Caenorhabditis elegans: one gene and its partner. The protein of the gene in region 1 interacts with the protein of each later gene in a pairwise test. Each region holds a gene or a part of one and is shown on either strand. Other genes may lie near its edges.

Evidence for each region.
Region 2: the proteins of nhr-142 (region 1) and ceh-31 interact in a two-hybrid assay, tested with the Caenorhabditis elegans proteins (one large-scale study listed by BioGRID).

What each region holds. Positions count from the first base shown.
Region 1 is NC_003283.11:5,785,442-5,792,735, forward strand, and holds nhr-142 (Nuclear Hormone Receptor family), read right to left. Parts: upstream 5,113-7,294; 5' UTR 4,626-5,112; coding exon 4,581-4,625; exon of another isoform or gene 4,505-4,580; intron 4,015-4,504; coding exon 3,940-4,014; intron 3,301-3,939; coding exon 3,197-3,300; intron 3,152-3,196; coding exon 3,018-3,151; intron 2,642-3,017; coding exon 2,457-2,641; intron 2,408-2,456; coding exon 2,300-2,407; intron 2,249-2,299; coding exon 2,036-2,248; intron 1,186-2,035; coding exon 972-1,185; intron 922-971; coding exon 770-921; intron 721-769; coding exon 625-720; 3' UTR 516-624; downstream 1-515. Other genes in the region: F44E7.7 (Major facilitator superfamily (MFS) profile domain-containing protein), read right to left, coding at 1-19; F44E7.9 (Rab5-interacting protein), read left to right, coding at 5,794-5,841, 5,889-5,966, 6,296-6,535; ZC250.2 (N-acetylgalactosaminide beta-1,3-galactosyltransferase), read left to right, coding at 6,890-7,039.
Region 2 is NC_003284.9:3,068,007-3,072,310, forward strand, and holds ceh-31 (Homeobox protein ceh-31), read right to left. Parts: upstream 2,417-4,304; 5' UTR 2,302-2,416; coding exon 2,136-2,301; intron 1,879-2,135; coding exon 1,608-1,878; intron 1,551-1,607; exon of another isoform or gene 1,268-1,550; intron 1,214-1,267; coding exon 868-1,213; 3' UTR 642-867; downstream 1-641.

The DNA of each region.
Region 1 (7,294 bases):
CAATAGTTATCACTGTCATAGTTGTATTACAACAAGAATGTTCAGTTCCTTTGACAAGTAGAGTTTATGGTTGTTCATTTGCATAATCACATATAACATCATTGATCAAAACATCAAACTTGTCCTTTTTGAAAATGTGGCGGAGGCAAGAGTAGAAATACTATCAAAAATCATGTGAAACAATATTTTTGAATTATTATTTATCATTCCCAGAATTTCGCTTAATCCGTGTTTTCTAAAAATAGTTTATGTACCTATTCAATATAATTAGGCTATTCAATATAATTTTATAGCTATTCAATATAATTTTTACTTTTTCCTATTTTTTCTCTTATTTTCACGTTCAAATAAACGTATTAAATAAATAGTAGATGGGAACAGTATTGCACACGGCCAACCAATCTCGAAAGCATCAAGCCACAAGTAGCCAGTTGGTGAATCTGGCGAAGCTTGAAATAGCTGGCGAAGACTAGTTTTTTGTTTTTCTTTTTTGCCTTTCTACATCCAAAACCTAGTTCGTAACAAAAATATGTATTTGAGCATTGACAAATTATTTACCAGATTTTAGAATAATATGAAGAATGAACCAAAAATGAGAACATGGAAAAGAGAAATAAATCAAAATTAGTCCTGGAAGACGCATGGATCGGTCACTTTGACCTTGAAAACTTCGAAAATCTTAGCCAATTCCATGATTTTCAGGCGATCCAAATGAATTCTCTGAAACATTAAATCGTCAGTTTGGTGGACAATGGCCACGAAATTTCACCTGTAAACTATTCACAACAGTCATCAGTTTGATAAGTCTACCAGCATAGTTTGACATTTTGTACTCTTTCAAATAATATTGATGAAGATCGTCGGCTATTTTCCCAATGAATTTCTCTCCCGCATCAAGAATATCACCTTGAAGAGTTTTTCCTGAAATTTTAGAATTATTGGGAGAGCTCATTGAAAGGGGAAGTGCCCACCAGCAATATGCCATATGATTTGACACAACATGTAACTAATTTCAATTGTGGATGGATCAAGCTCCATAAGTGGACGAGCGACTTCTTCATACATTTGTGAGCACACATGTTGGAACATTTTTCGGAGCTCGAGGGAAGTGTAGTCGGTTATCTTGGAAAGATCAATTTCAACATCTTCCATTCGAATTGCAGTCGAATTTGAGGTGATGAGAATCTACAAAAATTTGATATTGGTGTGGAGATTTCGTATAAATGCTGTCATATTAGTCCAACAGATTTTTGAAAGGTTTCAGACAAAGTTTTGGCAGTTGCCACATTTTTAAAAAATTTCATTTTGTAAAAACAAAATTATTAGTTTTTGAGAAACCTCAAGTTACACAAAAATTTAAACCCACAAACTACTCATGTAAACTGCGAATGCTCCAAAAAAAAAAAAGAAGTTTTTTTCTGATTTTTTTTCTCCAGAAGTTATATTTTTTAAACAAAAATTGTATAAATAGCAAAGAAGTTAAATTGTTTCAATAGAACATTTTTTCGAGCTTTCCAAAATTTTTCAACATTTCATGGCATAACTGACTTCCTCAATATTTTCTAAAATTTTCAATTAAAAGTTTGATAAAATATTTTTATAAAGTTAACATTTTTGAAGAGGATTTTTTTAAAGATGTAATGACTACTGGAAAATATCAAAAATAGAAATTATGATTAAAGCCTTTTATTCTCCTTTTATGGTCCATATAAACTATTTTCTGCAAAACAAAAGTGTTTTATTTTGAAATTATATAAATATTGGTAGATTTAATACGATATGGTCGAACCTACTAATTTTTACGTTATTTTCTTGAAATCATATTTTTTCTAAACCTGATGGTTTTTTCCAATTGAAGTCGTTGTTAATGATTGGAAAAATATTTCCAAATCATATCAAAAGTTCAACAGTAATGCCGAATCTCATTTATTTGTTTTTCTTCGTTTCTTTCGTAGATATTTTATGATTTCAAGTGAGATCACGCATTACTTTCTAAGAAAAAAACTTTTCAAGAAAAAAAAAAGAAATTACTCACTTTCTCCTCTATCGCCCTTTTTCCAAAAATTTCCAGTGACATTGTCAGCTTCTCGAATCTCTGTGACACTTGCCAAACTAATTTGAAAATCGAAAACTTTTCTTCCAAACTCAATTCTCGAAATTCTTCAGAATGCATCATAAATTCTGCTTGTTTGGTCATTTCCATTCCCCACATATCAACCAATTGGTCCAGTCGTATAGTGTTTATGATCTGGTTATATTTGAACTACACTATAGTCTTCAATATGTATTATGTACTTACTCGGAAGTTTTGCATCTTTTTATTCTTCCGATGACGTCTCAAAGCCCAATCCATTTTTCCTAAAGTGCTGGTCGACTGGTAAACCGGATCATCAACTGGTATTTTGAACTGTAAACGTGGAATTTTACGGAATAAATATACGGGTCACAGCACAAACCTCCATAAAAGTCTTGTGTATTTTATTCAAAGTTCTTGACAAATCATAAAGTGGTGGAGCATCTAAACAAGACTTTTTGGATCCAGGACTCCAATCTGAATATGCATCAACGTCAGTTGCATCGTCTTCTTCACTTTGACGTTTTCTATCAGTTGATGAAATCATATCACGATTCCATTGAACATCTGAAACATAATTGTTGTGGTTGTAAAGAAACATGATCCTCAAAAAATATAACTCGTGAATTCAGGGAGAACATTTTGTGAAACTATTGAAATTTTACAACATTATTAACTGCTAATAAATGTTTGGAATTATGTATATTCGAGACTTCTGTTAAATATGATCTTGTGAAATGCCAATTCAATTAAGAAAATATTTTAGGTACCACTAGAAACAAAATAAGTATAATTTGTAGAATGATTTTATTTTCTAGTATTTTTGTCCAAAACTTACAAATGCTAAACACAAAGTTCTACAGTAGTTAGTGGGGTCAGGCTAATTTTGATTTGAATGTATATACCTAGAAAGGAAATGGTGAAACTATTTTTTTGTACTCACTATCTGCGGTCATCCCGAGTTGTAGGCACTTTTTGTACCTGCACAATCTGCACAGATACCTCTCTGACTTGTCAATTCGACATCCTTGACTTGCTTTTCTGCACGAGTATTTTTTGTCCATGACAACAGAGCGTCTGAAAACTGTGTTATTTTTTGAGTGTCCAAAACATGTACCCTACCTGAAAAACGCAGCACAAGCCCTGCAAGACAAAACTCCAAAGTGGACACCGTGTGCCGTGTGTGCGCAAACTCGGCATTCGGAATCAGATGAAGATGACGACGGCTGCAACATTTCTCATCAAATGATATTCACTTTTGTGACTTCAATTGTGTTGTGTGCCCATTTCTCTGTGTTTCATGACCTGAGAGAGTGGCGAAGAGGAAGATGCGCAGGGGTGAAAGAGATTTAGTGTGTGCGTTTGGGAACAGAAATTGTGTGTTCGGCCATGGAGTTTGTGATCATTTACGTGCTTCGATGTAGTTAAAGAAATAAGACTAGAGACAAGCAATCATATTTTAAAGTAGATCTTACTTTAGAATATTAAAAATCTCCAATTTCAAATCTAAATGTGTTGTAGCGGCCATAGATTTTATAGAGTTTGTGACAGATCTAGATTTTTGATGTTTATCGGTAAATCACAATTGTAAGATAAACTTGGATACGGTATTTTGATAATAGTGCTGCTTTTCGTAATGGAAACATAGTTTTTGTGACTCATAAGACGCTAGATCCTTATGGGATTAATTCATTGATAAGAAATCACATAACCTATGACAACTAGAATGTGTTTAGTTCACGAAATCGAAAAAAAACTAGGTGATCCTAGATTTTATCAATTCCAACCTATTGTCAACTTGATAAATAAAAGTGTATCGTCATAATGAAATATCAAATGATGAAACATTTTGTAACAATTCCTACCTGATCTACACTCATTCGGGATTGCTCTATAAAAGCCGGTGGAGACATTCCGATTTCCATTGGTGATTGTGTTTCCTGAAAATTTGGAATTGACTAAAAGTAGAAAGTAGGTTGCAAGAAACAAATATATTGAATTCAAATGTGGTAGAAACTGATCAATTCGCTGAAATTTTATAAAGTAAGCTACCCATCAGCGTGGTCTAAAAATTATCAAATTGGTAGAGAAATTTGCAAAGTTTGGGCAAGACTTTATTTGGATCAAGGCTACGTTTACGTTAAATGAGACTCTTGCCAAAATCTTACAAAAATTGAAAGCGGTACAAGAGAAGTTTGGCAAGAATTGGGCAAAAATTGGGCTCAGACTTGCCCAAGTCTTGCCCAACGTTTGCCCGAGCTTTGCCATTATAAATTTTCAACCGAAACCTGAGCGAAAGCTCGCCGAGTTGGCCAGAAATCCCGAGCTTAATTTTATGTACAATTATATCAAGGGAATTTTCTGTATAAAAATACATGTATCCAATTCAAAAGTCAGAAATTTTTTTGCAAATGTATGTAGTAAATTAAAAACAAACTACAATTTATCCGTACAATTTACAGACTACACAAAAGCCTTAAAAGCCTAAAAAGCCAAAAGAATTAACCTTTCTTTGAATTGACGAATCATCAATGAGCTCAGGAACTTCCATGAGACTAGGCTTCTGACCTCTTGAAACCGAAACAATCAACTGACTGCCTAGAGGGCATGAACCACCGATAAAATGTAGGAATGGGCGGGAATTTTGATTTTTTGCCAACCTTTCCGTATGGAATAATGAATAGAATCTTATGAGGTCTTGAACGATTGAAATGATATATCAAATCACAGAATATGTCACGGTTTCTTTAAACACATTGGTTTTATTTTTGTTATCAGATTGTGTCTGTGCGAGTTGGAGTGAGAAAACGGTGAAAGCAAAATTGAGAACAAATATTGACAGGGCTTGGGTACCTATCGAGACACTATGGAGAAATTCATAACGAATTCGTTTAGGAAGTGGATATGTGTGCCTTCTATGCGGATACAAAACCACACCTTATTTTCTATGCGAATACTTGGACTTTCAAATGGGAAACGACAAGAGGTGTTAGAAGGCAGAAAATATTGGAATATCATATACAACGGTTTTAGACTATTCATGTGTCGTTCTGACTGATTTCATCTTTTCTGTTTTATTCCTATAGTGTCTCTCTCTCTCTCTCTCTTATTGAAAACTTCCGTAGAATTGATTTTTGTACTTCTGACTACAAACCACGAACATAGCAGTTTTGACACATTGCCTACAAGCCACACGTAGTGAGGCACCACTGAATGAGGAAACGCGATATGGGGGAACAAGCAACGTTGGGAAAATTTTAGCTGGAATTTTTTTCCGTCCCTTTAGCTGAAGCTTTAGTGTGATTTGGTAAGAAAAACTCTATTTTAATCTGGAACATAAAAAATTAATTTCAATTTAATTACATTACTAACCGTTATTTCCAATTTTTCAGATTAGAATAGAGATTTTCTCACCTAACTATACTAATTATTATTACACTCATAGGGAAAAAAAATGCTCGGAAACCTGTTTCCACAGTTCATGTGTCTCCAAGTTGCGTCTCCTCGATTCGTATCTCGTAAATCAGTGGTGAGTCCATGACGCGTTTTGCGTCAAGGCGGTTTCTGGCGTGTTTTGCGGGAGCTGGCGCATTTCTCGTCTTTTTTGTGAACACTTTTTGGAACGCAGCTTCTTATTTCTTATTGGAATTGCTTTATTTTCTTTTAATTTTTCTCAATTATTGTTTCAAAAATTACTTTATTTTTTATTTTCAGGTATAATGTCGTCCAAATCGTCTGCACCACTGGAACCCACGTGGACCGAGACGGTAAATTAAATTAAAACTAATATGTTTCAAATATCGATAATGTTTAGCTTGCCAAAGGACTCACACCTCGCTCTGAATGGCCAGACAAAGACGAATTATTGGATGTTGTTTACTGGGGAAAACAGGTGAGATATTAAAAAATTTAAAACTGCAAAAGAAATAAAAAAAACTTCCAATAATTTATATAATTTCACTCAAAACACTTCAATTATGCGTTGAAGTGTTTACAAAATGGGTTGTTTCTTGGTTGAATATTTCAAAAACAAATTTTTCACATAAATTTCGGAAGTTTCTTCGAATAAGTTGGATTTCTTTTAAGAAAGGTGGAAATAGAGTAACCAATTTCAGAAATTGAGAATATCATTCAAAAAATCGATAATTCAAAAAGCTTTGATAAAATTATTCTTTTAAAAAATCTAACAATCAGTTAGCATTTTTCATTGTTTCTTTCCAGGTTATCTCCCTGCTGCTGGGCTTCATCTTCGGAATTACCTCACTAACCGGAGTCCTCGTTTTAGTCTGCTACGTTGGAACGTCTTCCGTCATTGCTCACCACTTTGTTACAAAATTCCAACGAGTGGACGAAGAAGAAGTCGGAGGATTCTGGGAATTGTCGAAAGAAGGATTCGGTGCTGCTTTCGCTACCTTCATGGTTACGTGGATCACAACCTACACGTACTCGACACAAGTGTAGAGACCTTGGAAATATATATTAGTATTTATTGAATTTTGTTTAGTTTACCTCGACAGTTTTGAGCCAAAAGCAATCAAAGTTACAACTTAAACATGTTCGTGTGCCGTTCTTCCCTTGTTATTCCAAATATTTAATTTTAAAATTATTTTATTTTTGTTCTGTGATGTTTTTTTGCGAATTGTTTATCTTTAAATAGTTAAATATCAAACCCCAATTGCCTTCCGTTCAAATATATGAATCACTTTGAATTGAATCTCTAGAATTAATTGTTGTACTGACTGAAATGGACGCTACCAAATTATGAACTTATCTCGAGTTGATTTATAGTAAAACTATGAAACAAGTAATTTTTAGATGCAACTATTAATCATCTTATCTATATTGTTGTCACTATGTGATACGGAGAATTTGACGGTTTTATTAGTTGGATCTAGATACAAACTTACTGAACAAAGAGTAATGGAAAGGAGGAAGCAAATTTTAGCAGATTGTGAAATATTAAAGGTTTGAATTCTTAGAAAAATCTGTCTTTTAACAAAGAGGCTTATCAAACTAAATAGCGCCCGTTCAGCGAATTTCAATCGGAAAACAGTTTACTGAACAGAAGATTTATATTACGGGAACACAAAATTCCGAGAATGCGTACTGCTCATCATATTTGACGCGAAAAATATCTCGTAACGACAACTACAGTAATTCTTGAAATTACTACTGTAGCTTCCATTTTCCCTCGTTTCGCCGTGTACTTTTCTCATTTTT
Region 2 (4,304 bases), on another chromosome or scaffold:
AATTCTTCCCAATTTCCATTCAATAACATTACATGAGTTTACGAGTTCATGTCAAATGGTGAATAAGTTGAGTTACATGAGTTTACAGGAAATGTTTGACATTCCAATACGAAGACCAGTTCAATAAATCATTCTCGCAACGACCCCTGAAACGATGACATGATTGAACAATAATTCGTTAACAAGTCGACTCAATTGCAATAATACACGGCTGCGGTCTCCTTCGACAATTGTCATCTTGCTAAACAATTGAACAAGACGAATGAAAAGAAGGTTGAGGTTTTGACAAACTGTACAGGACGCGTCTCTAACCTCCTTTCTCAAATTGGGTGGCATCATTGTTCGAAAAAGGTGTCGCTATAATTGACGAATTATTCGACTCCTAGGCAGACGATCTTCAACTGTAAAGGTGTTACGGAAAATCTACTCAGCTATGAAAGTTGGAAGGCCTCCACTTTGACGAGTAACGTAGAGTGTTTGAGGTGGAGAGGAAGCGGGACGACTTTTTGCTTCCCCCCAAAATTGTCTATTAATGAGAAGGCTAATTGACGCACTTGGTGTGAGGAAATCGCTACCGTAATTTTGTCATTTGGAATGATTCGCAATGTTCTGTTACTTGAGCGAAAACACTCCAGCGTCCGTTGACTGTATTGCATTTTATTATTTTATAATAACCAAGACATTGAAAGTGAAACATTACAGAAGAAATTAAGAGATCGGATTTTGAGAATGAGGGCAAAATTAAAGTGGCTCAGCAGGAAAAATAGAAGAGAAAAACAATAGAAATTGAGAATTTGACATTTTGCGTGATGAAAACCGGATAAATACTCTAAGCGAAAAAAAAACAATCTTCAAGGTGGAAAGGTATTATTCATCCTCATCTGATTCTTTTTTAGAAACAGATGCATTTTTTACAGAATCAGGAGATACTGATGGTGATTCTTTTGGGGAACTGATATCATCTTTTACGTTTTGCGATGCTAGAAATTGCAGTAGAGAATTTTGAGAGTTGCTAGCAGGAATCATTGAAGAAGTTGGGACGACTAATGAATTGAATACAGGGCGATTATTAGAAGCTCCAAACATTGAAGTGTTCTGTGATAAGTAGTTTGCCCAATATGGATTTGTTCTTAGAAGTTGTTGAACGGCGGCCATATTTCCAGCATCGTGAAGAAGATCCATACCAACAGAGGCTTGTCGTTTCCATTTGGTTCTGAAAGTACCGTGAACATTTTTTTTCATTTCAAGCACTTTTTTTCTCAAATTTTTTGCGCCTCCCAGGGTAGCAGCTCCAATCTCAAAAATTGGATAATGACAGTGGAGCCGTTTCCCGTGGGGTGGTTGAAAGGAGTGGGGGAGGGCGCGGAAAAAAGATGACACTACTAAATAAAATTGGTGGGCGCACGCAAAGAAATTGAGGAGGGGTGAGAGCTTTGATTAAGATAAATTTCGATGGGGGTGAAGCTTCTCGCTAATGCACTACAATTAACACAAAGTGGCGTGTTTAGACTCAATTCTCGCCCAACTGCTGGCGCAAAGAGCCACACGTTGTTGTTTTTCGAGAAAAGAAAAAAAGTTTGCCTAATTAAGGAATATAGCCGACCAACCTTCTATTTTGATACCATGTCTTTACTTGAGTATCTGTTAGCCCCATTCGATGAGCCAGCTCCATCCTATCTTGAACAGACAAGTACTTCTGCTTCTCAAAGGTGTTTTCTAGCTCTTGAAGTTGTTTGTCGGTGAAGATAGTTCTCGCCTTCCGAGCCTTTTTTGATCCCACGCATGTCGGACTCTCGTTCACAGATCTTTCGGTATTCGGGCTCCCAATTCTAGGGGATGATGGCGATTCCGAGGAATTAATGGAGGTAGGAGATGGATCTACAATAACAAATAAATAAAGAAAACTGTTTGTATAGGTAAGAGGAGAACAAAGGATCATAATTGGTTGACCTATTACTATTACAGATTACCGTCCATGTGACTACTGGAGCGTTAATCCGTTAAATATCATTTTTCAGGTTAGTTGTACATTCAACATTCTCATGGAAGTCTATGTAGATTAAAGTGTTAGAGATGGTTGAACGAACATACAATAAATGCAATAACTTTAGGAAAATGGTGGCAAAATGGATTACCTGGTTCGTTGGTTGAGTGTGAAGTTGGATCAAGCAGATCAGAAATGCGAAAAGAGCTGTTTAAGTTTATCTTCGCGCCACCGGAAGAACTCTGAGCAGCAAGTTGGTTGGTGGGGTCTAGAAAGAATGCAGGAATCAGAAACTGACGGAGATCCAACATTGACATTGTTATGATAACCTTATCAGATGATGTAACAATACAATAAGTTTTGTAATAGTCAAATTGAATGACTTTTAGACAGTAGTTTAGTGTGAATGAGTGGGTTGGAAGGGTCCTGTTGCCTGCAGTCACTAAACGTCGCAAACTCGTTGATTGGTCTAGTCACGCCCATGCGAAGTGGAAGGCGGGGCGTGTCGAAGAAGGGAATAGAATGGATGACACCACGCGGTTTTGTATTGAGAAGTGTGGTCCGTGCAATCCACCTTTTTGAAGCCAATCAAGTGTGATAATGGGGGACGATGAAGCTGAAAACGAGCAGCTTCGAGGAAAAGACGAAAAGCAAAAGTTTCGGAAATGAGGCATTCAGGTGAGAAGAAAACAATTCAGACAAATCCCGAAACTGCCGAATGCAAACTATGCACACTAGGCTTTTCCTAAAAGCAGAGTAACAACGCAATGCAACATGATCCAAACGAGCAATGATTTTCAGATAAAAAAGCACTGAATAGAATTCAATATAACTAGCTATGCTAGTGTAAAACCGCAGAAAAAATCAAAAATAGCATGCTGCTTCGGCGTGCAAAAACTAGCGACTAAAGCTAAAAATGAGTTTCAGCCCGAATGATGTTTCAGCTTTCTGACTAAAAGATGATGAGGTCTAATAGGTACATTGTGTGTGTTTTAATATTTGATACATCACTGATTTGAAATCAGCACAATGGAAAACACTATCTGAAAAGTTCAGTAACAGTGACTACTTTTGATAGTTCATTTTGCATTTAGATTTTCCTGGCTGTGATCTTAAACTTGCTTCACACGTACAGTTCAGATTAACTGGTAACATCTTTTGGTACTTGTGTAGTATACCTAACACAAAAACATTTTCCAGTACATTTTCCATGCATTTCTTTTGAAACATAATAATTTATTCAAACCATGAAATAGATTTGCATTTTTAGACTTTGAAATACTTTAACCTTAAGCCTATTATCGGCAAAAAGGGGTTTAATATTTTTGGACCAGGTGTACTAAACTGGTACCTAATTTTTTTAATCCCAGATCCGCAAAAATCAGATTCTCAAAACACTAAAAATTATAATAAAATGCTAAGTAAGTAAATTTTTTATTTATTTTGAGCTTTATAGGAACTAAAAAAATGTAAACGTTTTCCGAGCTTTTAATTTCTTGAGCATTTATACTTAATTAGAGTTTAAATTTGTATTTTTCGGTAGCCGAGTTTGCAATAGTCTGGGTTCCTCTTTTATAGACTATTATGAGCAAAAAAACTTTGTTTTACATATTGAAATATTTTAAAAATTATAAACTAATATTTATAGTTGTAAAAAATTTTCAGACCCTTTATGTTTGCTTGAAAATTTGTTCAAAAAGTTTTCAATAAAATATCATGTTGAAACATCGTTATCATTCTGAAAAATATATTTGCAAAGTGAACAATGTCAACAATCGTTATATTTTTCACAACCGATTCATGAACAACGCGAATCTATTGTTTGTTATCAACGTCTAACAACTTACTAATACTTAATTTCCTGCCGTATTACCTCTCTAGTTTTCCGGCTGTTTATGTTTGGCGGCCACCTCCGTAAAACGTTAACTTAAACGTACAAATCTAATTTTATGCTGTCCCATCGTTTTCCCTCTTTCCCACTAACTAATAAGCAATATTTCCGGTCACAAACGGTCGATGAGCAACAATAATATCTGCATTCTCTTTGACGGACAGCTGTAGGCCCATTACCGGGGTTTTATGAGGAAAAGAGGAACCGCTATATGGTGAACTGTTATTAAGGGTACCGAACACAGTCATCTGGAAAATTTACTAATCGAATACACTACGGGTTTTCATTTTTGTGTTGGAATGACTAATGGGTCAAAAAAAATTATCAAAAATGTAAACTACAGAGCTTTTTTTCAATTCTAAAAAAATGTATTGTAACAACAACTCAAGATAAGAGTGAGTTCCAGTAGTAAAATCATCAATTGAACAT